Astyanax mexicanus: one gene and its partners. The protein of the gene in region 3 interacts with the protein of the main gene of each other region in a pairwise test. Links are inferred from orthologs where the notes say so. Each region holds a gene or a part of one and is shown on either strand. Other genes may lie near its edges.

Region 1 (7,592 bases), on a different chromosome or scaffold from region 3:
TAAACATTTATCAGTGTAAAACTTAAGTACTACTTCATTACTATACATCTCTGATGACTACGTTTTACATTCTTAATATTCACATACATTGGATATTAAACTGTTGTGGTCACAGTCAATAGGAGCTGAGTTCCTAACAATTACGTTAAAATATTAGACATTCTACTAAACAAGTTCTGTTTTTGCCCTTTCTAAAACACGGATACAGCCTCATATTCACGTTACCAGAAAGTGTTTCTAATCAGATTTTTTTTGCCTTAATGTGTATTAGGGTTGAGTGGACATTTCAAAGCCATCCAGACTTTTTCAAATAAGATTTGAATAAGTAACTTTTATATGTGGTCCAATATTGCATATCTATTCTATCTGTATTGTATCTGATTTATTTACTTTGCACACATTACAGGACCCATTAATCAATTCAGATTTTTCGCTCATATTAAAATGGTGATCTTGATGATTCACATTCATTAATGACCCTGACAGAATCTGACTACCTGACAGAATCTGACTCTGTGGCTGTTGTGAAGGAAAGTTTAATTATAATAGTTATTCATAAACAGAAACAACAGGAATCATAAGCATAATCTGTTGTGCCCATACTGCTTACTGACATGCATGCACAAAAAGTTCAGCACAACACTGGTGCTGGCTAATTATGATTAAAGCAGGGGCTTTAAAAAAAAGATGCATTAAATCTGATCTGGGCGTTCACATTTATGTTGTTTCCTCACAAATTTAATATGTATCTGAACACACGTGAAAAGTAGTCAAATCTGATTGTCATATTCACACCGCCCTAAAAAATCAAATCTGTGTCAGTTTGATTTGACACAAAACCTGATTTGAATCACTTCATCCTGGTAATGTCAAAATAGCTTTTTATTTGTGATCCTAGATCAGATTTCTTTTCTGATTTGGTGACATGCGAGATGATTGTGATGGTTATATTAGATTCCATGCACTGAATACACACACAGAATAGCAAAATCACGGTAGGGGTTAGTGTATTATTATATGAATATAATATAATATAATTGTACAACCCAATAGCACTTAGAGAACTCTTACTAAGGTCTCATAACTTAATTATCTAGGACTAAATATCTTCAACTATCAACAGCTACAAGACAATCAAAGCAAAGTGTTTTAAGGAAAGTATTTCCTAATTCATAAAAATAATTAAAGTAGTCAAGTTGAGAACTGCTTATTGGATTTCTGGAAAGCCTATTTCAACTCGTTTTTAAGACCTTAAAATTTCTGAAATATTTAGCATACTCTAAAGTAGTGGTGCGCCGTTCTACTGTGCAGTGACACCTACAAATATATGGAAGATGGAAGAAAAACTTTCCTTGCCACAAACATCAGATTCAGAAGTCTTTAAAAGAACACTTAAACAAGCCTGATGCATGAAAACATGCCCAGTGTACAGATGTAGCAATTTACTGTAATAGATATCTTGGCCAGGGGTGCCTTAACCTTGGCATACAACTGTAATTCACTGCACAGTGAATGACCAAATCTGTCCAGGCTTAACTACACTTACAAAACCCCAATGGTTCAGGGTAGTCCAACTACAGCTTTCTAAACTGCTGATAATGTGACATCATTAGACAGCTAAACACATTTGGATATTTGCAATTTGACCTAATTTTCTCCCCAAATTGTAAGGGCAATTACCCAGTCCCCATTTATTTGAACTCCCTCTATCACTACAAATGCCCCTCAACACTAAAAGGGTAAAGACTTACATATGTCTCCTCTGATACGTGTGTTATGGGTCAGAACCTGCCTCTTATCAAAATACCTCTGATGCAGCATCACTGGGGATGCACTCAACTGCACTCAGAGGAATGTGCAGCACCCGAGCTTCGACACATCAGCTAACAGATGCCTGTGCTGACCAACAACACATTAGGAACGATCTGGGAGAAAGGGCGACATCTACCCACACAGAGAGAGCAAGGTCAGTTGTGCTCTCTCAGACTCCGTCTGCTGATGGCAAGCACTATGATCCAATATTGGAACCAATGATCCTCAGGTCACACTGTCTGCTGGTCTCCCAATTCTCTAATATCTGCTAACAGATGCTTGCACTGTATAGTATTGTGCTAAATGATGGGGCAGAGCCAAATAACAAGACCAAAACTGCTAATATCATTCAAAAATAAAAGGAACTGATCTATTCTCTATGTTATAACAGTGTAGTATAACTTAAAAAAGGGATGCCGGATGGGGCTGTACTATTAACTAAAGCATTAAATTTTAAAATAATGTTATTTGTGTTGAACCAACCCATGCAAGTTACTGATACACATTTGCATAAATATGCTCTCATTAATAATATTTCCTATAATAATTACCCATCCAGCCCCACAGCTGTGCTGAAATTGGTGACTCTAAGTCAGAGTTGGCCCAGTAATGCATACTGGCTGGATATCTGATTACACTAGAGAATGTGTGTTTCCATCCGAATGGGTTTCTAATGGCAATAGGGAAATTCAGAATGTATTGGGGACAAAGTAAAGCATTTCCAAGAGTTATAGAGACATGCCCCCACCATCCCTGATTATTTTTTGCTAATTTTACCAAACTACACACTAGTCTAACCTCATGTCACCACTGTAAACAATAACAAAGGTAAATAATTCTTGATAAAATACAATGCGTTTTAGATTTATATTTTTTAATTTACAGCATTAACAAAGCTCATTATGTCTGTCTAGCATGGCAACGTTTCAGTAGACAGACAAAAATATTTTCTTTTTTTTTTGTTTTAACAGGATAAGCCCACCATTAGAATTTAAAATGAATTATATGGATGAATATAGTAGCAAGCAAGCCAGTTGGTTAGTGAGCAGCCTTTTCCAAAAATATATCACACCCTTATTGGTGGGCCAACCTTAGGTTTCAGAGCTGGTACTCTGTTAAAAGTAGAACTTCTTTGAGGAGGTTCTTCAGTTTAAAGCAGTAGAGGAACCCATTAAGGTGCTTTAATAAAGAGTTTTCTTCTAGAAACCTGCTTTTTTTTAGTCTGTGTTGTGCTGGTACATTTTGATCCAACATAGCTTACCAGCATAACAGCCTGTCTACTGGAATTTTGCTAAAGTATGCTATTTGTTGCAAATTTAACCACTGATTTAAGTGCTAGTGATGTCTGTCTATTCTCATATATTCTGGTTGCCAATCCATTAAGCAACTCCTTAAAATACTAAAGTCCTGTAGAGTGGTTCTGAACCCTAATGCTGGACTACAATGCAATATTGGTATTTTCCTACACCCCTACAGGTCAGTGATACTTCAGGAGCAGAAATAAAAATATTATATAGTGCTGTAAGGAACTTTACACAGCTTTTGAAGGGCCTGTGACACATACATCACGATAGCCTCTTTTGGATTAAGAACAAATGTGATTATTTACAATTAATCACAGAATAGTTTTTAGTCAATTAACATCACTAGAAAAAATCTATAAAAATTACATAAACATAATAGAAAAACAAAAAATAGAAACATATTGCTGGAGTAATGCCAAAGGCAATTTGGCAAAATAAACATAATAAGTCACCATCTGTCACCATCGCAGACAACAGGGAAACAGCTTAAAAATATTTTTATATATACATTTTTTATGGAGCCTCTATGGAGCCTTAAAAATATATATTAATTTGTGGCCATTGCTTATTAAGGCATGTGAACAAGATCCTAATGCATGGGAAAGACTTATTAAGGTGTCAGAACAAAATACAGTGCTGGAAAAAAAATAAGAGACCACTTAAAAATGATAAGTTTCTTTGATTTTACCAATTTGAAAACCTCTGGAATATAATCAAGAGGAAGCTGGATTATCACAAGCCATCAAACCAAGCTGAACTGCTTGAATTTCTTCACCCGGAGTGGACTAAAGTTATCCAAAAGCAGTGTGTAAGACTGGTGGAGGAGAACATGCCAAGATGCATGAAAACTGTGATTAAAAAACAGGGTTATTCCACCAAATATTGATTTCTGAACTCTTAAAACTTTATGAATATGAACTTGTTTTCTTTGCATTATTTTAGGTCTAAAAGCTCTGCATCATTTTTGTTATTTCAGCCAGTTCTCATTTTCTGCAAATAAATGCTCTAAAAGATTTTTTTTTGTCCGTAGTTTGTAAAATAAAAAAACAACGTTCATTTTATTCAAACATATACCTATAAATAGCAAAATCAGAGAAACTGATTCAGAAACTGAAGTGGTCTCTTCATTTTTTTCCAGAGCTGTAATTGAGTCATGGCCGTATAAGTTGTCCTTTTCTTTTCTTTTCTTTTGTCTTGTGGGCTTTCTTGTTATGCTCAGGTGGGTCGTGAGGTGGAAAAGGTTGAGAACCTTTACTCTACACAGTTCACTAACAGCACCGCTCCAGCTGAGCATAATTCACTCTCTATGATCTCATGACTCTCTTGTTACATAAACACGCCCTGAACTGTGTCTCACCGTCTGATTGGTTCAGCGGGCTGTCGGTCAAAGGCTGCATTTCGTCATCCTGCCCGGCGCTGAGCGCTGATTGGCTGAGCGGGCAGACTTCCCTACATGGTAAAAACGATTTCGCAATCCTGCCAGGCACGGCTCAGTGTACCAAACAATAACAGCTCCGCTGATGTCTCTGTCCCGTCAACTAGAGCGGCTACGAATTTACTCACGGTTTTAGTGGATGACTGAACCCAGGATCTGAACCTCGATCAGGTAAGACGGGTAGAAGTGTGTCTGAGGGGAGAAAGAGGAGAAAACCGGAGTGGAATTTTAAGTACAGAGATTCCTTGTAGTCCTATACTCGGTTAGCTAGCTGGCTAACTTGTGTAGCTAGCTGCTTGTTGCTAACCGGACCGCAGAACAGGTTTCATTACTGCTGCTTTACAGCAACACAACTTCTGTAGTTACAACGTTAGCTTAGCTAATATTATATCCTATACTTAACCTCTTTAATGACACTTACTCTAAGATTGGGGACTGTTGTAGGACACTAACTAGCTAGCTAAAAAACACGAGTTAGTTATTAGCTGGCTAAACTAAAGCTAGTTAGCAGCTAGCAGGGCTGTGTCTTTTGACGTAACTAAGCTACTGTATGTAGCTAGCTAGCCGTACTTATTGTTAGGAATGTGGCTAGTCTGCTAGCGGCTAACTGGAATGTAACATAGCTAGCTAACGCTAACTAAGCTAACCAAGTTCATTCCTGTGTTCTGCCGAGTTTTGCTCCAATGTCAAACTCTGCTACTCTAGTGTAGGTTCTATTGAAATGTAAAATAAATGACGTTAAATAAGTTAAATACAAAATAACTATCATAATACGTTTGTGTAGAACATTTGGATAGCCTAAATTAGTGTGTCTGAGTTAATAAAGTAAAGTTCATAATAATAAAAATAATAATACTAAATAATAGAGGTTACAAGAGTTTTTTTTCCTTTTTGTTTTTATATGAACTGCCTGTTATACGTTTATAACATTCTAAAAATCCAAGAAAAATAACAATAAACTAAGGTTGTGTAGGTTAATACACCCGAGTAAAACAGAATTATATATTTTTAATAATTATAAAAATGTAAGGGCAAAGGGTCAGCGCATGCGCAGTGCTGAAGGAAGTGCATATCGATGGGTTGCAGAACTAGACAGAACACCCCTTAACTTGTAAGCAGACAGATATAACTGTTAGACACTGATGTAAACTGTAGTTAGCTAGGTTAGGTAACACGTCAAATTAGTCATTAGTCACAATGTATTATTTACTTATAGCCTAGCTAAAGCTAACTAACGTTCTGCTAAGTATGTTAAGAACACAGTCTCTCTCTCTAATGCTTCATAGCTAATAGTAGGCTAACAAAGTGGCTAGCTAACGCAGCTAGCTAGCGGTATTCCCCGTAATTCCTGTGAAGTTACGTAGCTGTTAGCTTGCTGTGGCTGAGCTCTAATAGTGTATGACTAACATCAGCTCAGCTCAGCCTGATAACGCGCTTTATCGGTGCTTTATCAGCACAGCGGGCAGACTCCTTTAAACCCCGCAGTCCTTTAAACCCCGCAGAACCGAATCTCACACTCTGTAATATTGTTTTTGACCCGCCTGCAGAAAGTTCGCCGCTTCGCTGCTGTTTGTTACTAATTTTAAGCCACGCGCTGTGAGTGAGTGTGAGTGTGTGTGCGCGCGCGAGCGGAGTTTCCCTGAGCGCCGCGCGGGAGGGAGCGCGAGCGATGATGCAACCGCGAGCAACGTCTCGAGCGCGAGACAAGAGATACCTAGCAACATATGCGCGTTGCCTGGCAACATGGCAGTGATTGGTGGGCGCAGGTGGATGTGTGGTGTTTTTAAAAAGATGGGGGTTTTAAGCGCTTTAAGGAGTTGCAGTTGCTGTGCACTGAGGAGGAGCATCAGTTTTTATACTGTTTTTTCCCAGCAGATTCTTAAAAAAAAAAAAGACTAAAAATACTTTTACATAATTTGTCTTAAAATGTTTTAATCATCTATGGGAAAGTGTTGGTTATTACACCTTCCCATACCTTATTTATTTATCTACCTACCTAGTTATCGTAAATATAATGGTACATGGCATATCTACAGCTCTGGGGGGAAAAAAGACACCACTTGATGAGTTTCTTTGATTTTACCAAATTGAAAACCTCTGGAATAAAATCATGAGGAAGATAAATGGTCACAGATAAAAGCCATCAAACCAAGCTAAACTGCTTGAATTTTTGCTCTGGGAGTGGCATAAGGTTATCCAAAAGCAGTGTGAAAGACTAGTGGAGGAGAACATGCCAAGATGCATGAAAACTGGGTTATTCAACCAAATATTAATTTCTGAACTTTCTGAATATGAACTGGTTTTCTTTGCAATATTTGAGGTCTGAAAGCTCTGCATCTTTTTAGTTATTTTAACGATTTTGCATTTTCTTCAAATAAATGTGTTGTCCTTGAATAAAACAACAATGTTCATTTCACTCAAATATATATCTATAAATAGCAAAATCAGAGAAACTGATTCAGAAAATTAAGTGGTCTCTTAATTTTTTTAGAGTTGTATATACCACCTAAAAATGAACAACAGAAGGAGAGTAGCATCACTGTTTTTTCTGTTGTAATTTGAATCTTAATGAAAAAAAAAAACAGTCTATCCATTATGTATTGTAAACCTCAAAACTATGAGTCCCCTTAAATAGACTAATATTCTTATATTATGAATTTAATGCACATGCCAAAAAATGTGTGCTGTCTCTCATTTTTTATATCCAGTAAAAGCGTCAGAAAACTGATCTCCTTTGCAAGATGTACATGTGTGGCCTCCTTTATTAAATGTGGTTGTGATTTCTGCCAGAGTCACTTGTCTGTTTGCGTAGACAATTCAAGCCAGACACCTCCTCTAACAATCCTTACCGCTTTCTTACCACTGCACTATTCACTGTTAGCCCTTTAACTGGTTTTATTCAGACTTTATTCAGACTAACCATGGTACCTTTTTAGAGAACCAGCCCAGGATTGCACCAGTTTTAGTGTTTCCAGCCAGGAACAAACCTTTCTGATCTCTAGAACCTATTTTTTGTTGGTGGAAATGCACTGAGCGGTTTA
Region 2 (7,992 bases), on a different chromosome or scaffold from region 3:
ATGAGACAATTGTTCTTAGTTTTTTTGCGATATATTAGTATTCAAAGGCGTTTAAAGTATCAAACCTAAATATAGTTAAATATCTGTGTTAGCTAGGTTAACTAAATAATATCTAAATATTATTTTACGCTCACATCTTTAAAGTATGACTAAATCAAAAGCATGTTTTTGTCTCATTTAATTTAGGGTTAAGGTTTTATTAAGATACCCATTAGCTATACAGATCATCGGTTATTTAAGACAAAAAAGAGAGCATGCTATGGCTAACGCCATTTTTTACTCGAAATAGAGCTTTAAAAATCTATTATTATACACAAAAAGTCATCTATTTTTCATGGTGTCCAGTCAAAATATTATAGAAACAAACGGAAAAAAAAACATGAGAAACAACTAATTTACAGACTATACAACCTATATGCAACCTATATACAACAGACTATACAATGGAATGACTTATAGCATATGTTGGATTCACTGTTCTTACTAGGGTTGCAAAGGTGTGGAAAAATTCAGATACATTTTTCTGTAATTTACTAGTAACTTTCCATGAAATCTTTAGCTCTGTAAGTTTGGAACTATTCCAAATTGTAAACTTTCCATAAAATTGTTCAGAACTGTAGATTTATGGGAATTTATTGGAATTAACATCAAATATTGGATAATTCAAAGGAACAAAATATACAATATTGTCAATGCAATGTTTGTATGTGAACAGCAGACATATAGGCAACACAATAGAAATAAAGACTATGACATAGTAAGTTGCAGAAAGAACTGCTTTTTATGAATGCTTTATAAGTGGTAATCATTTTTTTTATTCTTTCATCAAACAGTCATCATTTATATAAAAAACAATTAAAATAACTCAAGATTTTGTATCAGTATATTTTTTACCAATTATATGTAAGTTTCTCACTTTATCTTCAAATATTTCCGTTTTATTCCCATTAACTCAAGTTAATAGCCATAATAAAATGTCAAACAAATTTACAACCCTAATTCTTACTTACAAAATGATAGCATACAAATAATTATTTTAATATACACTGAGTTTTAACAACAAATAAAATTTAATATTTTAAATGTCATCGTGTGTTATGTGTCTTATGAATGGTGTTTACTGGACAAACTCCAACTGAGCTGTTTTGTAACCAAAGGCAAATTTCCATTTCAGGCTAATGCAATGATAAACTTACTTATTGACTATTTGATGCTTTTTATATGCTTATGTCACTTATTTGCCAAACGGTATAATCACTAGCTGAGTAAAACATTTTGCAGGTTTCTATTTTAGGACATTTCTGTTTAGTTAAATAAAGTGTTCCTTCCATTATTGTTATATCAAAGGAATGGTTTTATAGGAACATATCCTACTGCAAGCTGTCCCATTCTCTTCCAGCTTCCAGCAGCTTCAAATGTACAAATGCATGGTAATCATATTTCTGTGCTCTAAACTAACCCAGCTGTGGGGTTTTATGGCTGTGGTTTAAAGTTGATGATTTATGAGAAGGACATATGAGTTTGAATATGTTATTTTAAGTGGTTGTGTTGGTGGTTGTGGTTTTTACCCTGAGGCCTCAATAACCTCAGCTGTTGGGTTAAATCATTGTGTATTCAGTGTACAGTTTTCAGGCGCCATCTGGTGGTTGACATAGTATCTACTTTAGAGTGCAGCGCTTAGGCCAGTGTTTTTTTTTTGCTTATATCACTGTCTATTCCACTGCCTGGTAAAAAAAAAAAAGTCTCCACCTGGATTTAACTAAACAAATGATGTGGTGTTGCTGAATTTGATCAGGTGTAGGTTCAGCAACAGTATGTGCTGAAGGAATGAGGACAGATGACTACCTGAATATACTGAATATAGACCAGATCACTCCATAAATGGATTTTTTCTTCCCTAATGGCACGGGCATATTCCAAGATGACAATGTCAGGATTCATGGGGCTGGAATTGTGAAATAGTGCAGAGTTCAGGGAGCATGAGATCATCATTTTTTTACACTTGGATTGTTCATCACAGAGTCCAGACCTTAACCATATTGAGAATCTTTGGGATGTGCTGGAGAAGGCTTTGTGCAGTGGTCAGACTCCACCATCATTAATGCAAGAAATTAATGCAACACTGGATTGAAATTAATCTTGTGACATTGCAGAAGCTTATCAAAACAATGCCATGATGAATGTGTGCCACAACAAAAGCTAAAGGCGGTCCAACAAAATATTAGAGTGTGTGATCTTTTTTTTTTGGTGGCAACCAAATCTTTGATGGTCAAGGTGGTTAAAAAGCTGATCATTCATGTAAAAACACACTATATTGCTGGTATGATAACTGATTAATCATTCTTATGTTAGATTAGAATCTGCTAAGGCTTGGTTATGCTGATCATCAGCTTGGGCTTGCTGGTCATGTAGAGCTAAGTTAGCCAATTAGAAAGATGTCCTGTGGTATCTGGTCCTGGTAGCTGATATCTGACATCAGCAGATCCATAGTCCATAGTCTGGATCTGCTGATATGGAACCAGTTTATCAATGCTATTCACTTTACCTGTCAGTGGTTTAATGTTATGATTGATTTATGCAATTACAAATCAATCATATTAACTTGTGGCCTAAAGGAAAATGTCACTAAGGTGGTGGTTGGTTTTACAGTCGTGGCTTGCCATCTAATGGTCCCAAATGATTATAAGAACAGCATTAATACAGAATTTAAGTTGTTTTAGGATATTTCACAATTATAAACCAGATTTGCTGCACTAAATGCAACATCTATGGTAGAACTATGGCCCTGAAAGGAGATGCTTCCTGATCTGTTTTCTACAAAATACAGTATAATATCATAATCTTCTATTTCGGTGTGCGCTGTGTTTTCAGCTCTGCTGTTCTGACTCATTGTGTTCACTGTAGGAACGGCTGCAGAAACCTGATTTGCATCTGATAATAGAGAGTAAGCTCAGATTGTCCAGATTTGTCTGGACTGATTTTGAGCACTGTGAGCTCTCGTTACTAATTACTGCTCTGATCAGAACACTATATAGAAAATGTAAGTTCATGTGGGGAATGTTAAAGCCTTTCTCAGATCTATATTACTGCTCGTGTTTTTAGACATCTGATACAGTATATACTATAATACAGTGTACACAATAATATGCACTTTATATCATCAAGCTTGTTTTGAATATATGTGCATAGATCTGGTATACATATGTAAGTATTACATAATTATGTAATATATATAATTATGTATATAATACACATATTTGTATATTTATATTTTACATAAATATTTTAAATTAACATATAAGATGTTTTAATTATAGCATACTTTAGATATGTAGGAAAATATATATATCCCTTGTTTGTTGTAAAAGGACCAATAGAAATGCTCCAATATTACATTGACTTCCACTGAAAATTAGACACATTTTGTCTTGTACTGTAAGTTGACATTTTGGAGGTACAATGTTTTTTATGTAATAGTGGTGACCCAGATAGCAAAAGGACATCGGAATTCAATGTTCATTTTTCTATCGCTAATACGTTAAAACAATGTTGATCTCTGACCACAGAATTTATTTATTTTTTGCACATCGATTTTACATTGATTCAACATTATTTTTAAAGTTATGTTTTTTTACTTACATTAAATATGTATACAATATTTATTTTCTATTTGTATAGCATGCCCTGTGATTGGTAGGAAGCACCTTTCACCTAAAAGCAAGGTGAGTGTAGAAGATCTTAGCCCAACCTTTCAAAACCTTCTAAATCAATGTCAAAATTTTAACATTAACTGATACCTATTAGGCAATGTTAAATAAAGATTAATTTAAGGATATCGTTCCATAATCAACCTTAATATACATATAATGCAACCAGTAAACTTTTATTCTTTGCTATCAGGGAATGTTTCATAACATACTGTTAAACATGTGTGTTACATATATATGAAACACAACTGATTGTTTAGATCATTTGATTTTGATAATGGCTTATGTTAACAGTATGTATTTTTTTGCAATTTTAATAACAGGGCTTAGTTAGGGCTTGTCCCCAATTGGTAGGTGATGTAAAGTTTACTTTTCATTAATAAAGGTTGTAGGCATTAAATATTGGATAGTTGTTTAGTCTTATTATTGAGTTTTATTGAGTTTGTTTAGTCTGCATTTTGAATTGTAGTTGGCAAAATAGCAAAGCTCATAAAGCTATTTAGAAATGCATTACAATTTGAGGCTGTTAAAATGTTAACTGTTATATTAACAAAAACATATATCAAATACATTTAAAAACGATCAATTTCAAATGAGCTGTCATCTATATCACACTTATTAAAGCAATACATTACAAACATATTATGTGTATATAGAGGGACTCCATGTTTTCTGTGGAGTATATATCATATTGTTTAAATAATTGCAGTGGGAGCGTTTTCACCGTTGTCAATGTTTTCTGCCTAACGTCTCAGAAACGTTTTCTCAGTTCTCAATTTCTCAGTGAAACACGTGGAACTGAATGACTTTCTATGTAGGGCACACTCAATGCAATGCTCATTAAACTGTCCCGTATCGTTTAAATGTTTAATACGCGTGTAGCGGGATGAATTATGCAGAGTGTGTACTGTAACAAGACCAGTGGCCAGCAGGCAACAAGTGCGCATGACTAAAGAACAAGGGCACGAGCTGACTCTGCGAGACATTACAAACCTTATCAAAACGATCTGAGGATAAAGGTGAATGAGCTATGGTGACCCACTGCACATGGAATAAGCTGACTTTTGGAGTAAACGGCATTTTTATCTAGGAATTAGAAATCTAGTCTACGACTAATAGTGCACAAATAACAAGTGTGCACTAAGTAGTGTACGACAGCAGCGCGTCCTGTGCCCAGCAGGCAGTGAGGCGACTCTCTTGCCCCGCCTCTTTCTAATATTCACCAATCAGAGCAGACAGTGGCCCTGGGCACGTCACGCCGAAAGTGGTGACGTGGTGAAGTTGGTTAGCAAATACAGCCGAGACAGCAGCGACGAGTAAATGAGAATTCGAGCTTCTCTGCGGCTCCGAACGAGATAAAATAACCTCTAACTGACGGACTATGGATGTTAGTTGTGTTTCTGTTGAATGGAGTTAAAGGTAAAGGGTTTGGGCTCTGTGTGTGTGATACGGAGATGCTAACTGAAGCCAATAAAGCAATAAGGACGCTAACCTAGCTTTAGCTTAGCTAGCTAGCATTAGCTTAACCGAGCAGCTGAGATGGTCTGACGACCTTAATAATCCTTCTAATAAACCTGACAACCTTTTATTTTATCTCTCTTAAAGTTATTTAAGCCTTCTTTGTCGCCTAACAAATGAATTAAGCTGTATATCACGACTGTTCTATAGTTAAAGCAATAAGCAGGTAGGTTAGCTACTTAGCTAACTAGCATTGTGAGCTATTGGTTTCTCTGAGTATGTCTAGGTTGGGTTAATACAGCACAGTCAGTCTCAGTCAGGTTTGTGTTTGTCTGCTGTTTTTATCAGTTCAGTGCCAAACTGCCTTCAGTCTGTCTCATTTATAAATCACTGGAGTCAGATTTGAGCTGACCTGCCTGCTGTCACGTCAAGTAAACATTATGTTGGCCTTTGTTAAGCCTTACATTTGGCAAGGCAAGTTGCTGAATAAGCTGTAATCAACAATTTGTAAATTAAAGGTGTTCTTCTGCAATATTGTCAGTTTTGCTGCATATTAGAAGTGTTATGTACAGTGTTAGAAAGAATTTGACACTTATAGAGTCCCTAAGGTGTCAAAAGTAATATTTAGAGATGTAAACACTTGCATAAATTTAACAAATCGTTCAGTTCAGTTTAGAGGGAATGCTTTAGTTAAACTGGGAAAACAAGTATTAAATCAATTCTCAATTTTTTTAGGGAAGCAATGATGTGGGAAATATGGGCAAATATCTGATTTGTCATTGTACAGATATATAACTTACAGAGAGACTAGACACCCTGGTATAACTTTATAACTTATAACTACCAGCGTTGCTTGCTACAGTTATAATATCAGCAATTATCAGTTTGTAATGTCAGGCAATAACAATATAATTCAGATATCATCATGCACCCCTAGTTTCTTAATTTAGGAATTTAGGAATGATAATATAAATTTGATAGGATAGTTCAGGAAAAAAGATTGTTTTTATTTCCTTTATTTTGTACTAATACCTTTTTGGGTTTGTGGCTCTGTTTCAAATTAAATTTTATTATTTTATATGTTTTCAGGTAATTATTAGTTAAAAATTTCATCTTGCATCTCTAATCGAAATTAAGTGATGTTGATTCACACTATATTGCCACATTTATTTGCTCACCTGCAATGCATTTGTTGATGCAAGGCTTTGATGGAGCAGTGCGACCATGGAAACTAATTCTATTAGGCTCTCTATCCTCTACTGTTCTTAAGCAAATTGGAAGGCAACATGGATTTTGGAGGTCTGTAGTGATTGACTCTGGTGGAGAAAGTTGGTGACCTCTACACACTATGCTTCTCAGTGTCTGCTGACTCCACTCTGTCATTTTATGTTGGCTTTCTCAGTCATTTCCCATTTGTTGTAATATTACTTAAATTTCACTGTGGAACACTTAGTTGTGAATTTTTTTTATGACCGGACTTGTTGCTTAGGTGCTGCATCCTAACACAGTACTATGCTGGAGTTCACTGAGTGACCCATTTTTTCACTAATGTTTGTAGAAGTAGTCTGCCTGCCTAGGTGCTTGATTTTATACACCTGCGATCATGGAAGTGATTGGTTTGAGTTCAGTAATTTAAATAGGTCAGCAAATACTTTTGGCAATATAGTGTAAAAGCTTACATTCACATTTAGATTTCTTGGTTTAATGTGACAAAAATCTGTTTTCTAGGCTGTATGGGACATGCTAAATCCAATTGCACAGTTGTAAATTCAGTGCATATGAAGTTTATATATATTGTGTCTTGCAGAAGAGAAAATCTGACAACAGACAGCGATGAAACAGCTGCATCCTGCATGTGAAGCACCTTAAAGAACGTTGATCTGTGGGAGAAGCCCAGAAGGATTGTTTTTTTTTGGACTTGCACACAGCAGTAATGTTTGCGAAGCTAAAGAAGAAGATAGCAGAGGAGGCGGCTACCGGTCCTCGCACTGGACGCATGCCACGATCCATGAGCAAAGAGTCCATCACCTCGGTGGGAGCAGACTCTGGGGATGACTTTGTGAGTAAATCTCCTCTTTATCTCTTTCTTCCTTTCCCTCTCCCATGTCTTTTAGTCTTCCCTCTCCCATGTCTTTTAGTCCCTTAACTGCAAAAGCACAGTAATTTTAGAACTGTGAGTTATCAGTTCAGACAGACTCAATAATTTACAACTAATACTTAAAAAGTTTCAATATTGTCACATAAAAACCTTCCAAAATAGCCTGTACTGCAGAAAGAAAAAAACCCTTTTAACTTCAAAATTAAGTCTATTTAAAAAAGATTACAAGTCGTTTTGGACTTTCTGACATAATGTAAATAAAACTGGCAGATTATATCAAACGGTATGGATACACCAAATATTTAGCAACTAAAATGATTTGGCAAAAATACAGATTCCATTTTGGCTGAATAAGTGTAAAGACAAAATCATTTCTAATCAACAATTATGTTTTTGATGACGCAATCAAATGCAGCCAACATGTTTTTGATCTTTGGCTAAATGTTTGGTTCATTTGGTTCATTCTCATTGATTTGTGTGTGATGGCAACAAAATAAATCTTTCTTACTGTATTCTTTAAATGTAGATAATGTGTGGTTAACCCCCATATAAATCCATGCAGTAAAACAGTGCTGGACACTGTATGACAATATGACACTAAATCAATATCACAAGCAGTTGGATAATTTTACCTTTAACAATTCATGTACGAAAGACATAAATAGCTTTTTCTCTGGTTACAAGCTGATTGAGTTGCTAATTTTGGCTTAGTGTTTGAGCTCTCTATGT
Region 3 (6,935 bases):
CCACGTAAAAAAGGCAGTCCGCCTGTATGATTTTCTCCTGTCTGAGCGTGAAGATACTCTTCGTGGTCTCACAGATGAGCTGTCAGGAGTAGCTGATAACTTGAACAAGGTGTATAAAGGTGCAAGGATTGCTGGCATTACTGGTGGGGCAGCAGGGGCAGCTGGAGTGGCAGCTGCTGTAGGGGGCATATTACTTGCCCCACTGACTTTGGGTGCTTCATTAGCAGTGACCGCAGTTGGGGTTGGTGTGGCTGCTGCTGGAGGGGTCACAGGAGCCTCCGCCGCAATCACCAACAAGGTCAACAGCGACAATGACAGAAAGAAGGTGGAGAAAATCCTTCAAGACTTCACCACTGAGATAGAGGATATTGAGAACTGTGTGATGTTCATCAGGTCAGGGATCAAGTACCTAAACAGTCACAACCTGTCTGAGTTGCACGGGGTGGACCAAGAGGTGGTGAAGGTGGCAAAAGTGGCTGGTGTGGCTGGAAGAAATACTTTAGCCATCTGTGCTTTCAGCAAGGCCTCAGGTGTGATTCAGGGCTTTGCACTGGGCATGGACATCCACTTCACCACAAACGACAAGCAGAAGCTGAAGAAAGGGTCAGAAACCAAGTTTGCCAAGCAGATCCGTGAGGTGGCTGAGAAGATGAAAGCCAGCCTTGATGAGCTAATGAAAGTTAAAAATGATCTAAAATCTGCAGACTTGTAAAAAACAGGTTAGTTATGAACAGAAAAGCACGAAATGTGGGTTATCTGTGGATGAATACCCTAAAATCTAAGGTAATGTTTAGCCAGCATTAGTTCTCAAAAAATCAGTGACATTATGGGAGTGTTTCCCATTCCTTTTCTGGTGAGGCTTTACTGTAAATCTTACACTACTTACAATTTTCTTTTCAATTTAGTCGTTTCACCTCATCACACCTACCCTTCACACAATGGAAGTATCATTGAATGTCATTTGAAAGTTGAACACACTTGGAGGACAACCCTCTAGTCTACCTGAAGACATTTACATCAATTATGTTCACTCTCAGCCATAGGTAGATCTTGGGTTGCAATCAGTCATGAAAGCCTTATCCTACGGTCAGGTTGTGTTGATGGATAAACCTAAAGGTAAGCTCCACTTCTCCAGAGATCACAGTTCCATCATTATATAGTAGAATAATAGAGGAGTTTCCTTGAACCGCTCTTGCCAGCTATTGCATGGTGATATAAGGATTGTGTGTGAATGCTTCAGAGTGTCCCATTCTATTGTCACTGCTTTTCAATGGAAATCTTTCAAGTTGGATGCAATATTTGCATATCTGGATACTTTGACATTAAGCTTTTAATGTTAACTGGAACACTTTTTTGGAAAATCAAAATAGCGAAGCTTTCTAAACCTTTTATGTAATCAAATAAAAAAACGTTTATCAAAACACTATTGATTGTATTAGATATTTTGCAATATAATAAATACATTTAAATGAGGAAACTGTAGTCTTTTATTTGATATTTAATGTGTTGTGAGAATTAGACCCACACAGCAGAAAGGCAAGTGTTGAATTAACTCTCCAGTTTTTCTGGGCACACAGGAAAATTCCTCCTTTTTCAGAAGATCTTTGTTCAGCTCCTTTTTTTGGAATAGAGGGAGAAAACATCCTGTCCAGGTAACAATAAAGAAGCTGACTACAATGCCTTTTTTGTTTTTCCAGTATTTATCATTAATTACAACTTGAAACAATGTTATTTCTTATTACACTTACATTAAGTAAAGTGTCAGAACACCATAATCAAACACTGTACAAAATATATATTTTTTAACATTTAGTCTGAAGCAACACATTAATACACATAAAGAGGAATCTTATCCTTAACTTTAAAGAAAATTTGGTACATTTTATGTTAAGTACTTATTGCAATTGCATATTTAGCAATTAATTATATTATTTCACTTAATATTTCTTGCACTGTCTCCATATTTAGTTGAGATGAGGCTTAAGCTGTTCACCTTTTTATGGTAAAATATTAAGCCATTTTTAGAAAGTTATGAGATGCCAAAAGACAGTATTCTGATAATTATCCAGTTGGTTATGCCACTTTTTGCAAGAATGCAGGGAAGAGGTCAACATCAATGTGAAGTGATTTTTCTTGATTGACCAACATTTCTGAACCTGATTTTGTTGGCCTATTATAGAACTCACCTTGCCCAAAACATCATATTATGGGGTCAACCGTATCTATAGTGTGCATAGTATAGTATAGTATAGTGTAAAACCCAATAAGGCTATTTTATCTAAAATTGGTGAAACTGATTGATAAAAGTATAAGTAAGAGTAACTCAATTTTCAAGTTAAACTAATATTCTATATTAAATAGGTTTTAATAAGTAAGTTTAGGTTACACTAGCTTACGTTTTGTGAACAAAATAGATTTGTATTTCATTGTTTTTAATTGATCTAAGAAAAATCTGCATTTGAAAGACGACATAAAAACCAATAGAAGGAACACTCTAGCACACAGCATTAGCACCTTACCCTTACACCCTACAACAAAAGTTGATTTAACTATGTTTGAATACACAGAACCAGTCTAAATTATTCATATTAAAAGCATAAAAAATTAGGGGACTCATAAGGACCTGACCTGACCCTGACCTAAACCCAACTGAGATGGGTGATTTGGGATGAGCTGGAGCAGAGCGTGAAGGAAAAGCAGCAACTATTGTTTAGCACCTTCAGAAACTCCTTCAAGACACTGAAGGCTCTAAATCATGAAAATGCAAAGAGTGTGCAGAGCTGTCCTCAAAGCTAAATGTGGCTACTTATAGGACTCTAAAGAATAAAACATGTGTTGGTTTGTTTTTCACCTTTTTTTACAGTATAATTTGTATGTGGTCCTGGACAGCTTCAATATTAAAATTACAATGTAAAAAATCTAAAGAAAAAAAGAAAACGCATTGAATGAGAAGAGCTGTGCCCAAACTTTTGTGTCCACAAATGTTCACCTAACTCAAAATAGTTGAGTAGGCCTAATGTTTGAAAATAACCAATTTTAGACTTAATTTATTTGAGTTCAAATTAATTGTGGGTTTACAGTGTAGTTTATATGTGTATAATGATTACATGACAATAAAGCTTAATACAATAGTCAGAATTACTTTATTGTTATGCCAGGGAAAAAGGCCTAGAGGGCAGCCTTGTACCATTTCCTATTGTTGTCTGTGAGCCACTGAGGCCACGAGGCCATTAACAAAATAAATAGGACTCTTTGGGAGGAAATGTGTTTCCATTTTCTCATTTTAATGTAAAGAGTTAATTTAATAAACCGTAGCTATATAAAATCATGTGTAAGATATTAGTAATATCACTGTTTCAGTACTGATTTATTGATGTGTTGAGAATAGTTAGTTCGTAGTCTCGTGATATATACAGACGCTGCATTTACGTCATCTGTTACTGTGTGGTGTTTAAAGTGTAGTTTAGGATTTTGGGAAAGGGGTAAATTCAGAGATATTCTTATAAAAACTATATTATTTGTTTTTACAGGAGCAGGTCTTTAATGTAATTTACGTCTATTATGTTGTATTATCTCAAATAAATACTCAGTTCAAGTAAAAGTGTTTTAATTAACATGGTCAACAAAAGTCACTTTTTGTTAGAAAACCTTATGGTAATATCAGTTGTGTTGACGCTATAATATAATTTAATAGTAAAGTGTCGGAAATGAAAAAGTTGTGGTGTATTTATTATGTCGTCGCATATTCCTCCCCACAGCTCTGTTTAGGAACTATGTTTTTCCCCACGCGTCACACAACCTGGCGATCAGCTCCACCAATCAGAAAGAGATGCAGCCCGCGGAGTGATACCAGAATGTTTCGGAGGCGGAAGGTCATATGTGGGTGTTGTATGTGAGTATATAAGGTCATGTGACGCCCTACCGACGTTTTCGTTCTCTTTCCCTTCTGTAATACAACGCGTTGAGCTGAGAGCTCCCTGCTCAAAATGGCAGTGTAGCGGCTTGCAGCGGCAAAACTCGCAGCGGCGGATCCTGCAGTGCAACGGCGAATTGCACTGATTCTATTAGGCAAAATGGCGTAAGTATAATTTTGTATTTTTTAGTGATTTGAGGTGAGAGGACCGGATGACTGAAGTAGGCCGGCTAGCTTATGTCGTCGTTACCGGCAGGGGAGGAGTTGTCTTTGTTGGTGGGAGGTATAATGTTAAATGTGTCAGCTACCTAATAAAGTTATACATACAAAAATACCTACAATCGAGATTTAATTAATGTCAGGGTTGTACATTTATTAACCTGCAATGAGTCTGAACTTTACTTGGCCTTATTTACCGCCCCCGCCATTTGATACAGTTCCCGCCCTCAATATTTATTGTTAATTTTTTTAGCTGACGAACTGTAATTGTGCTTATAAAATGTACTGGGTTATTACTGTGGTATTATGTTGTTTGTGAGGGAGGTCGTGTTTAAAATGGACCAATAAAAACAAAAACACAGCTGTCCGCCTTTGACCAGACAACGTGGCACTATTCAAAATGGCGCACCAGCTTCCCTCCCTCGTGCTGGCTGTGTTGTGAAAATGGCGCGATCGCCAAGGGCACAGCCGCCATGAGGGAGGGGCATAAGGCGGGGCTTGGTGCACCGTGACCATATTAAGGAAACTTGTGACGTGTGGGCGGAGCGTTTTTGGCAGGCCTTGTGGTTGACGGGAAAGAAGAAAGACTGATTTAAATTGTCTTGGAGCAGAGTTTTCCTGTTGAAACATGAAACTGTTAAATGTTTGGAATTTACTTTGTGGGGAGGTGGTGTTTTTGTGTAGGTGGTAGGGAAGTATTTGAGTAATATTTGGCTTCTTTTCCTAATTCTATACTCATTCCATAAAAACGGGTCAGCATGAATTCAGTTTTGGACCAGTTTCAACAAAAAGTAGTGCTAATACATGATTGACTGGTTTTTATATATAGTTTAATTACAGTGCCTTGGGCGGTGTTGTGGTGACTGACTAAACGTGTTTGACCTGTATTGGGACATTTTCTTACGTGTTCACAAGAGAGCTTCATAATTACAGTGGGAACCACATAATGAGGTAGCTTGTATAAACCTGTTGTAGTTTTTTGTTTAAGTCATGTCTGAGATAGAGGTTTTACAAGAAGATTAAATGTTTACATGGTAACCTTTTTCTTTTTTTGTTTTCTGTTTTTGCCTTTTTTTTTTAGGTCCTTTGAGGCAACCACCCTCAGCTTTGCTGCCGTCGACAGCATACCAACTTTGCTCGACTCATCATCAGAACTCCTGTTCTCGTTGACTCTGTCACGACCCCTGACCAGCCACCATGTCTCTGACCTCACAGATGTGCATGGAGGACGTGGGGGCCCTGCTCTTGGGGCCCTCGACTCTGATGGCTGACCCCTTCGGGCCCCTTCTGGACGAAGATGAAGAGAGAGCTCTTTCTGAGGGGTCGTCTTCGCCCCTCTCCTTCTCTTCATACTCTGAATCTTACACCTCCTCCCCGTTCTCCCCCTTTTCGGCCCCTGCTCCTCTAGGGTGTAAAGTTGGGTCTGACCTGCTGCCGCTCCCCTGGCTGTCTGCTGGTGAGCAGATTGATGCTCATGTAAGAGCAGATCAGAAAGAAGGTAAGACTGGTTGAGCAACTTAAGCATGACACCTACATTTATGACCCATTCGTGTGAAGTGTGAAAACAGTGGTCACAAATTAAACAAGTGCATATATAAATTATATAAGTGAGAAATGGAAAAATCAGAATGCCAGAATTGCCATATGTTGTCACTAGCAGAGAATAACCCAAAAGCTTTTCTGTTGCAGGGGATGCGTTTTCTGGCATGGACTGGATGACAGAGAAGATCGACCTAAGTGACTTCGACCTGGATTCGCTCATCGGGTCCTGTGATTTAGATGAGCCCCCCAGCTCACCAGAAGAGCTGCTGGCATCCTTGGAGTCCCAAATGGATCTGGACCTGGCTCCCCTACCATTTCCCTCATCTTCACCCTCTGACCCAGAAGAGCTTGGCCTGCCTCCTCTTTCCCTTGACCTCCCACTTCCAGAGCAACCGGCAGACCCTGAGGTCCGTCCGGAGCCCATTCCCATTGAGATAAAATCAGAGCCATTGTCTCCTGCCTTCACCCTGGAACTGGGCAGTGAGGTGGACATCTCAGAGCTGGAGAAGGTGGTTTCCAAAACCAGTAGTGACCAACAGACCCCCAGCATTGTGCTGTCCCTCTCACCTGCTCACATTGTGGTTGTTCTTGCGCCCAAAGAAGAGGTGAGTGTCATGCCCAGTTCCTGTGCAGACCAGTCTGACAGTGGCATTGAATCAGTCTCTGGTTCTCCCCCTCACAACCCGAGTCCTGCACCATCCCCCAAGCCTGTTGGCACTTCCAGAACCAAGCCATACTCCAAGCCAGACCCAGAGGCAGGTGTCACAGTTGTTGGTAAAGTGAAGACAGTCACTGGGAAGTCTGTGGACAAGAAGCTGAAGAAGATGGAGCAGAATAAGACAGCAGCGACCCGCTACCGGCAGAAGAAGCGGGTAGAGCAGGAGTCCCTGAATGAAGAGTGTACTGAGTTGGAGAAGAGGAATCGTGAGCTGTCGGAAAAGGCTGACTCGATAAGTAGGGAGATCCAGTACCTAAAGGATCTTATTGAAGAGGTCCGTTCTGCCAAGAACCGCAAGAACAAGACCAAGGCTGACTCTCCCTGAGATGTAGGCCAAGATACTTTAATTAAAGATCAGCTCCATCAAAAAGTATAAAGTGTACTGAAAGTATCTTTAGTTTCTCACCCCCTCACAATTCACACACCCTCAATATTCACTGTATGTAGTTTTAACAGAATCAACTATTTTGTGTAATGTGAGCCATACAAAACTAAAATGGGCACATAGACGCACACAGAAACCTGAACAGTGGAAGGTTGTTG
Region 4 (7,441 bases), on a different chromosome or scaffold from region 3:
AACCTCTTAACACGCCCTGAATCTCCCCGAATATGTTCGGGACTCAGACACAATCTCAATCTTTAAGTCTAGACTGAAAACTTACTTGTTTAGTTTAGCTTTTGGTAATTAATGTTTCTCCCTTTAGACAAGGCTGCAGATCCAGGGGTTCATGGACAGAGGGAATTCTGGTAAACTGAGATGCTGGTGCTGGTGGATGCCAGAGTTTCAGGGAGCCTCCGTGTCTATGTTACCTTCTGGCTCTCCCTTTAGTTAGGCTGTTTTATTTAGATCTGCCAGAGTCATTAGCAGTGTTGGGAGTAACGGCGTTAAAACTAACGGCGTTACTAACGCCCTTACACTGTAAAAAGTGTAGCCCTGCTCAAATTAAAAAAATTGATGTCCATTTGTTGCATCTAAACTATTTGACTTCACTCAATCTAAATAAAGTCAATTGTTACAACCTGATTATTTTATTTTGACATAAACCCTATTACTTCACTCGACCCAATATTAATTATTCACCTTGATCCAAGTTAAATTCTTTACATTTCAGTTTCGGAACCAAACTAATACATTTAAATTGAACCGAACTTAAAAAAAAAACATGGCAGCATATTCAGAAGTTCCAGAAGTTACTGTGGCGTGGAAGAGGACGGATTACCAGCGAGATTCGTTTCAGTGCTCTCTTGCTCTTTTTATTTTGCTCTGAGGAGGACACTAAGAGCTGGATTTACATGGGATTCCACTTTTGAAAGTGAAACTAACTACAGCTCCAACGCAGCTAACCCCACTCCCACACACAGAAAACACACAAAGGGTGAGGCACTTACACAAAACAACCACATAACTGATAACTACATGAATAATACTAGAACAGTGATAATAAAACATGACATGAAACTCTGGGATAAACAGTAACATAAACACGCAGAAAAACACCCACTTCCCCCAACAGGGTGAGCTCCCATAATTCCTTCCGCCCCCCCTCCAGTCCCGACGCCACAATACCATAAGCATGCGTTGCTATCTCGCGAGCGCGTTCAGGCACTTTCTCCCTCTCTCATTCTCTCTCTCGCGAGCGCGTTCAGGCACTTTCTCCCTCTCTCCCTCAGTGCTCTGAAGCACTTCTCTACAACTTCTCCCGTGCTCCACAGTGCGCATGCGCAATTCATGTTCGATTCAAATTAAAAATATTACATCCTTATCTCTTTTCTTCGAGTATGATTTCAGTGGAACCAAAACATTTGGTTTATTTCCTTCAGAATTGTAATTAATTTAGTCTGAATCAAAATTGACACATCAAAATTCAAAAAGGTTGAGTTTCACAATAAAGTCAATAATTGTACTATGTGTTCAATCATATTTATTAGCTTGAATGAACAGCTCCATGCTTCACTTTTTACAGTGTACTTTAACGAGTAATCTAACTAATTACTATGGCTGTAACTATAACGCCGTTACCATTTCCGACACCCCGTTACTGCACGTTACTTTAGCTGCTCTATGAACTTTTTTTTTTTAGCTTCGCTTTGCCCTGGTTAACCCCTCCTCTTTCCGGTGAACTTGAGTTTCTGGCCGCTGTGCCTGTGGTTTGGCGTGGTGAAGTGAGGCACAATTGTGACGATTTGCGTGCGTGGACAGCCCAAGTTCCGAATTAAGGACGTTAAGCTTTTTTAGCTGCTCCGGTTTTTGTGGTGCTGCTGCTTTCTCTTTTAGAGCTTAGATTCTCTGCCCGAACCCGATCTGAGGACCGACCCGAAATCGGGCTCCTATTTTTATTTTATATAAACCTCTGGTGTGATAATCACAATGTTGCTAAGTAACCAATTATTATTGTTCACTAAAGCGAACGAAATAGCGAAAACTGAAAGTGAAAAAAACATTTGTGTTAACTGAATCTAATAAAAACGATAATTAAAAGGAAAAAACATAACTATCTCGAACGGTATTTTGTGTTTATAAAACTAACTAAAACGAACTGAAATTACTGATAGAATACCCTCATTTTCGTGTTTAATTTATTTATAAGCGCTGTTGTACAACGGAGTTGTACAGCGGGAGGTGTTGTGCCGAGCGAGCGGCACCTCGTGGTCTGTTAGTTCTTGTGTAAAGCGCTCGCGCTAGCCGCAAAATACGACAAAAAACACTCAGAAACTGCAGAACTATGAATGGGATTACAATATGAGCGCCAGGCAGATGAAAGAGAAACAGGAGATACAGTGTGTGAGAACATTTACCTGTAGCTTATACCAGAACAGCAAATCTCTCTCTCTCTCTCTCTCTCTCTCTCTCTCACGTTTCTTAGATTGATCTCTCTGATGAGATGTGTAAAAACTAATAAAAACTAGCAAGCCCACCCTAAAAACTTACTGAACAGAAAAAATAAAAACAAAATCAAATTAAACTATAATAAAAATGAAAAATGTAATCACGTAGCTCTGGGCGCACGTGAACGCCTCAGCGTTTGACTGTAGCTGTTCTTAAAAATCATTTAAATTAAATAATCGTTCTATGCTTTTATGTTACAGTGTTAATTAACATAATTCTGATCATATTTTGCTCATTCAATCAGCCCGAAAACAGACAGTTTATGGGGCGGATCGGGTCGGGCTCATAATGACAGTTCATGGTTCGGATTGAGTCGGGCTCGGGCAGAATGTGCACGGGCTAGGGCTGGGTCGGGTCGGATTTTTTTTGGCAGGATCTAAGCTCTATTCTCTTTTGGTGAAGCTGTTATATTAATACCATTTTAACGGTCATTAGTTTGTTGTTTTTTGTCCATTATCTTGTTTTTTTATATATATACATATTTCCTTTGCGTGTGGCTTGGTTTGTTTAATTTCATCCCCAGACGCGTTTTTCCGTTTTTTCCGTTTTTTTCAGTATTACAAGTTTTAGTAATTTTCTTTGATTGTGTGGAGAATTTCGTTTTATTTTTTTGGAATTCGTTAGATTATATTTTTGTCAACATTTTGGGTTTATTTTCGTTTGTTATTTTTCTAATAATAATAGTAAATGCATAATTGATTTCCTTTTTTTTGACAGGCGAATAATAAAAAGTAACGCTATAGTTACTTTTACTGGTAACTAATTACTTTTATAGTGGAGTAACTCCGTTAGTACTTACTTTTTTGGAGAAGTAACGAGTAACTATAACTAATTACTTTTTTCAAAGTAATGTGCCCAACACTGGTCATTAGCCACACTCTGATAATGTTTTATATTCTCTGTTTTACATAAATCCAGTTAAAACTAATTCCATCTCTCTGCCTTCCTCCGAGTTACTGACTGCCCACCTGTCTCAGGCTCTCATGTCCCGCCAGACTGATGGAAGTTTCTGAAGTCAGCTCTTCTCCATCATACACCACAGATCAGCTGCTCATCATCCATCTTACTCTCCACTACAGATTACATCCTAGCCATTAGTGGCGCTATTATACTCCTGAATATATAAAACCTATGTGGATGTAAAGACTTTTTGAAAATAATTTAAAAGCCATTTGACCAGTGGTAGGATGCTCCCCCCTTAAATGTGAGTCTTGGTCCTCTCAAGGTTTCTTCCTCCTCCTGCAGCTCTGAGAGTTTTTCCTTGCCTCCGCGCTCACTGGGGGTTCTGTATTTTATATGTTTGTTTTGCCTGATTCTTTGTCCTGTGGTCACGTTTCTGTAAAGCTGCTTTGTGCCAACTCCAGTTGTAAAAAGCGCTATACAAATAAATTTGATTTAATTTTAATTGATTAAAATAAATATTGTAAAATTCCAGATGCTTAGTGAAACAATGCCACAGTGAATGCGTTCCTCAATCAAAGCTAAAGGTGGTCTAACCAAATATTAGGACATGTGACCTTTTTTGGGCCAGGGAGTGAATGTCTTATATTAAATAATAAAATATAATTTATTTATGTATATTGTAATACGTGTATCATGTTATTACTTATAGAGCTCTGAAAAAAAATGAGAACATTATTATGAGTTTCTTCGATTTTTATTAAATGTTTGCACCAGGAGTGGCATAAAGTTAACCAAAAGCAGTGTGTAAGACTGGTGGAGGAGAACATGCCAAGATACATGAAAACTGTGATTATAAACCAGGGTTATTGCACCAAATATCGATTTCTAAACTCTTAAAACTGAATGTTTTAACTGAATATGAACTTGTTTTCTTTGCATTATTTGAGGTCTGAAAGCTCTGCATCTTTTTTGTTCTTTCCATTTTTCTAAGTATAGAGTATGAGTGTAAATCACACAAAGTGTTACACAATCCGCCCTCTAAATCCTCATATCCTTTGGAAAAAGTGATGATTTTCAGTTTTCAGGCTCATATTCTCTTTGTGCCTGTGGTCAGGCGTGTTCTGAGCGCGTGGCGGACCGGGTTTGGGGTTCTGTGGAGCTTTCCTGAGAAGCCCACACTGCTGAGGCAGCCGAAAAGCGCCCAATGCAGCTTCAATGCACAAAGAGCAGCAGCAGCATGAGCAGCTTCCAGCCACAATGGTGAGGAACAACAGCTGTGGAACAAAGCCGCCACTTTCCAGAAGCCTAGGCCTCCATAAAGAGGCACGCGCTGGCAGCCGGTGCCGTTTCGCTGGGAGGCAGTGAGAGAGTCAGAGTGCTGCAGTGCAGCGATGTCTGTGGGCGAGTAGCAGTACCCCGTCAGATCACCAGAACCGGGACAGGCATGCCTCTGCCAAGACGCCGATCCTCCATCCTGGGCCAGACCAGCGCGGAGCGGCCGGGCGGTGTCGGGCGGGTGAGCGCGGGTGGCACCGCGGCGCCTCGGGGTGTATTCGTGGGCACCGCACCCCCCACCGTGACCCAAACGCCCACTAACCTGGGTGCACGCGTGTCCCGCAGGGCGCTGGGAATCAGCAGCGTCTTTCTGCAGGGCCTGCGGAGCACCACCAGTGCCCCTGTGCTGCCCCAGCCCCGAGACCGGGCCCACCAGCAGCTGGGATTCGACAGCCTCAACTGCTGCCTGCTGGAGTACCGCGACAAGGTCCGGGCCCTGGAGGAGCTCAACCAGCAGCTGGAGGAGCAGATCCGCAGCTACCTTGAGCGCAAGGCCTCCAGCGCAGAGACATGGGGAGCCCTGCGACACGAGTGGGAGGACGTCTACAGACAGGTGGGCAGGTGGGCAGGGCTGGGCATCAGGAGGAAACTGGGCTTAGTCCTGTTTCTGAGAGAATGTAGGTCAAAGTCGAGGCGCTTTAAAAGACATTGGGGGGCTCGGAGTGGTCCAGTGGATCAAGGCACTGTCGACAGAGGTGTCGGATACTGAAGAACAAATACTTCCTTACCTTACTTAAGTAAAAATGTTGGTACTCTATCTGGAGTAATAATTTTGATATAAGTTTTACTTCTACTCCCTCAGGGGTCGGCAATAGGCAGGCGTGAAACATTTGGCCCGTGAGGTTGTTTAAACTATAATGAACGATAATTAAAAATCAATACATTTTAATACATACATAAATAGTTAAAACAGGGTCTTTTTGGCTGTTTGAAAAAATTATAATAGAGTTAACGTTACCTCCATCACCTCTGAGCCGCTGTGTTATCCTAACGTTACTAACATTACCTTTATCACCTCAAAGTCCCTGTGCTATCCTAACTTCACTAACATTACCTTTATCACCTCTAAGCCGCTGTATCCTAACTTCGCTAACATTATCTTTATCACCTCTAAGCCGCTGTGTTATCCTAACGTTACAAACATTACCTTTATCACCTCAAAGCCCCTGTGTTATCCTAAAGTTACTAATGTTACCTTCATCACCTCAAAGTCCCTGTGTTATCCTAACGTTAACTCCATCACCTCAAAGACCCTGTGTTTTCCCAAAGTTACTAATGTTACCTCCATCACCTCAAAGCCCCTGTGTTATCCTAACTTCACTTACATTACCTTTATCACCTCAAAGTCCCTGGGGCGGATTTGGAAGTTGTGGGGTCTAAGCAATGTTTTTTTTCCGGGGGCGCTGATCAAATGGATTCTTTTTATAGCAAAATGCAATATTCAGTGTTCATACACCTTTTACAAGGTAAAATTCAAGCACTTTCAAGAGCCATTTAAAAAAATTTTTCAGCACCTTTCAGCTGTGGTAAATTAATGATAACGGTGATATCTCAAAACTGCATTCAGTGATAATCAATATATGCAAAACTATTCTCCACACTTTACAGCGATGCTACTGAGAAACAAGTACATAGCAAGAATTATGGATTTATTGGTGTCAGTTTCACACAATTTAAATACCAATGTTCTTCACCGCATGTTTACCCTACACACTAAGAAAAGTAAGTACGGATTTGTACTTAAAAGAGTACAAAGCTTGTCGCTGGGGCTGTACCTTATATTGAGGTACAAAAAAGTACCTTTCAGTGAAAGTCCTTTTTTGTACCCATGGTTTTTGTGCCAGTAAAGATTATAAAGATTATAAACATTATCATCAACTAAATATGGCTCAAAAATTTGATGATCCAATTTTTTCTGGCTTTCAAATGAAAAATGTGCAATTAAAATATTTATTGTTAATTAGTACAGTGATACAGAATACTGAATGTACCTTTTGTCTGGTTAAATGGTACAAATTTGTACTTATTGCTGTTAGAAATTACTTTGTTCTTCAGAGGGAACAAATCTGACCCTGTAAAGACCAATATGGTACCATTGAGGGTACAATTATGAAGAGTGTACCTTTGAGTACAAAAAAGTACTCATATCGTACCTCTGTTTTTTAGAGTGTATTCATTTGATTGAGCAGTTACTGTATATCAAATTTGGGGGTGAGTTGAGAGCATTTATACACACATATACTCAACATTATTGATTTGCTTTTTGTCACACTGTGAACACAACCAGAATTGTGTTTGGTAATAGCAGGAGATTAAATTAAAGCAAAATAAGTTATGATTCTAAATGAATCACCTGTGTAGAATATCCAACTTGATTGCGTCAAGAATGAAACTACGACACAAAAGATCACTAGGCAAATAACCTTTAATCATTTTTTTACTGAAAATGTCCTCTGGGCATCGCCACGTTCCACCACAGCGCTGACGCCGGGCAAACAGCCCTGGAGATCGGCTCGTTCCACAGCGCTGACGCCGGGTAAACAGCCCCGGAGATCAACTCGTTCCACAGCACTGACGCCGGGCCCCGGAGAGCCCGTGAACTTTGTCAAGTTTTCTGTGCTGGACTTCCTTTCCTTAAGTTTCGTTCTTTTTTGGGCACCGCTGCACTGTAAAAAATGATTTTTTGACTTTGTAAATACAACAAGGACAATTAAAGTAATTTCTACATGAAAACATCAATTCTGAGAATTACTCAAAAATGTAATGTATAATTCAGTGTAATACTTGGAGTTTCTGCGTAATTGTGTGTCTTCCCATTTAGTTAAATACATTCAGTAAATTTAACTGTAGTAACTGTAGTAAAAATTACTGAAATGTTGTCATCATTACATTA

The links.
Region 1: the proteins of atf4a (region 3) and cebpg interact in binary tests that used the Homo sapiens proteins (3 or more experiments, as listed by UniProt). The link is inferred for Astyanax mexicanus from reciprocal best matches to the Homo sapiens genes ATF4 and CEBPG.
Region 2: the proteins of atf4a (region 3) and golga1 interact in binary tests that used the Homo sapiens proteins (3 or more experiments, as listed by UniProt). The two-hybrid records come from large-scale screens. The link is inferred for Astyanax mexicanus from reciprocal best matches to the Homo sapiens genes ATF4 and GOLGA1.
Region 4: the proteins of atf4a (region 3) and bfsp2 interact in binary tests that used the Homo sapiens proteins (3 or more experiments, as listed by UniProt). The link is inferred for Astyanax mexicanus from reciprocal best matches to the Homo sapiens genes ATF4 and BFSP2.

What each region holds. Positions count from the first base shown.
Region 1 is NC_064430.1:12,451,230-12,458,821, forward strand, and holds the start of cebpg (CCAAT/enhancer-binding protein gamma), read left to right. Parts: upstream 1-4,571; 5' UTR 4,572-4,722; intron 4,723-7,592. UniProt on the Homo sapiens protein: Transcription factor that binds to the promoter and the enhancer regions of target genes. Binds to the enhancer element PRE-I (positive regulatory element-I) of the IL-4 gene. Binds to the promoter and the enhancer of the immunoglobulin heavy chain.
Region 2 is NC_064419.1:30,653,563-30,661,554, reverse strand, and holds the start of golga1 (golgin subfamily A member 1), read left to right. Parts: upstream 1-4,975; 5' UTR 4,976-5,092; coding exon 5,093-5,126; intron 5,127-6,893; exon of another isoform or gene 6,894-7,093; coding exon 7,094-7,224; intron 7,225-7,992. UniProt on the Homo sapiens protein: Involved in vesicular trafficking at the Golgi apparatus level. Involved in endosome-to-Golgi trafficking. Mechanistically, captures transport vesicles arriving from endosomes via the protein TBC1D23.
Region 3 is NC_064412.1:31,403,386-31,410,320, forward strand, and holds the start of atf4a (cyclic AMP-dependent transcription factor ATF-4), read left to right. Parts: upstream 1-3,920; 5' UTR 3,921-4,078; intron 4,079-5,213; 5' UTR 5,214-5,329; coding exon 5,330-5,630; intron 5,631-5,821; coding exon 5,822-6,717; 3' UTR 6,718-6,935. Other genes in the region: apolipoprotein L6-like, read left to right, coding at 1-712. UniProt on the Homo sapiens protein: Transcription factor that binds the cAMP response element (CRE) (consensus: 5'-GTGACGT[AC][AG]-3') and displays two biological functions, as regulator of metabolic and redox processes under normal cellular conditions, and as master transcription factor during integrated stress response (ISR).
Region 4 is NC_064415.1:47,381,279-47,388,719, reverse strand, and holds the start of bfsp2 (phakinin), read left to right. Parts: upstream 1-4,432; 5' UTR 4,433-4,657; coding exon 4,658-5,101; intron 5,102-7,441.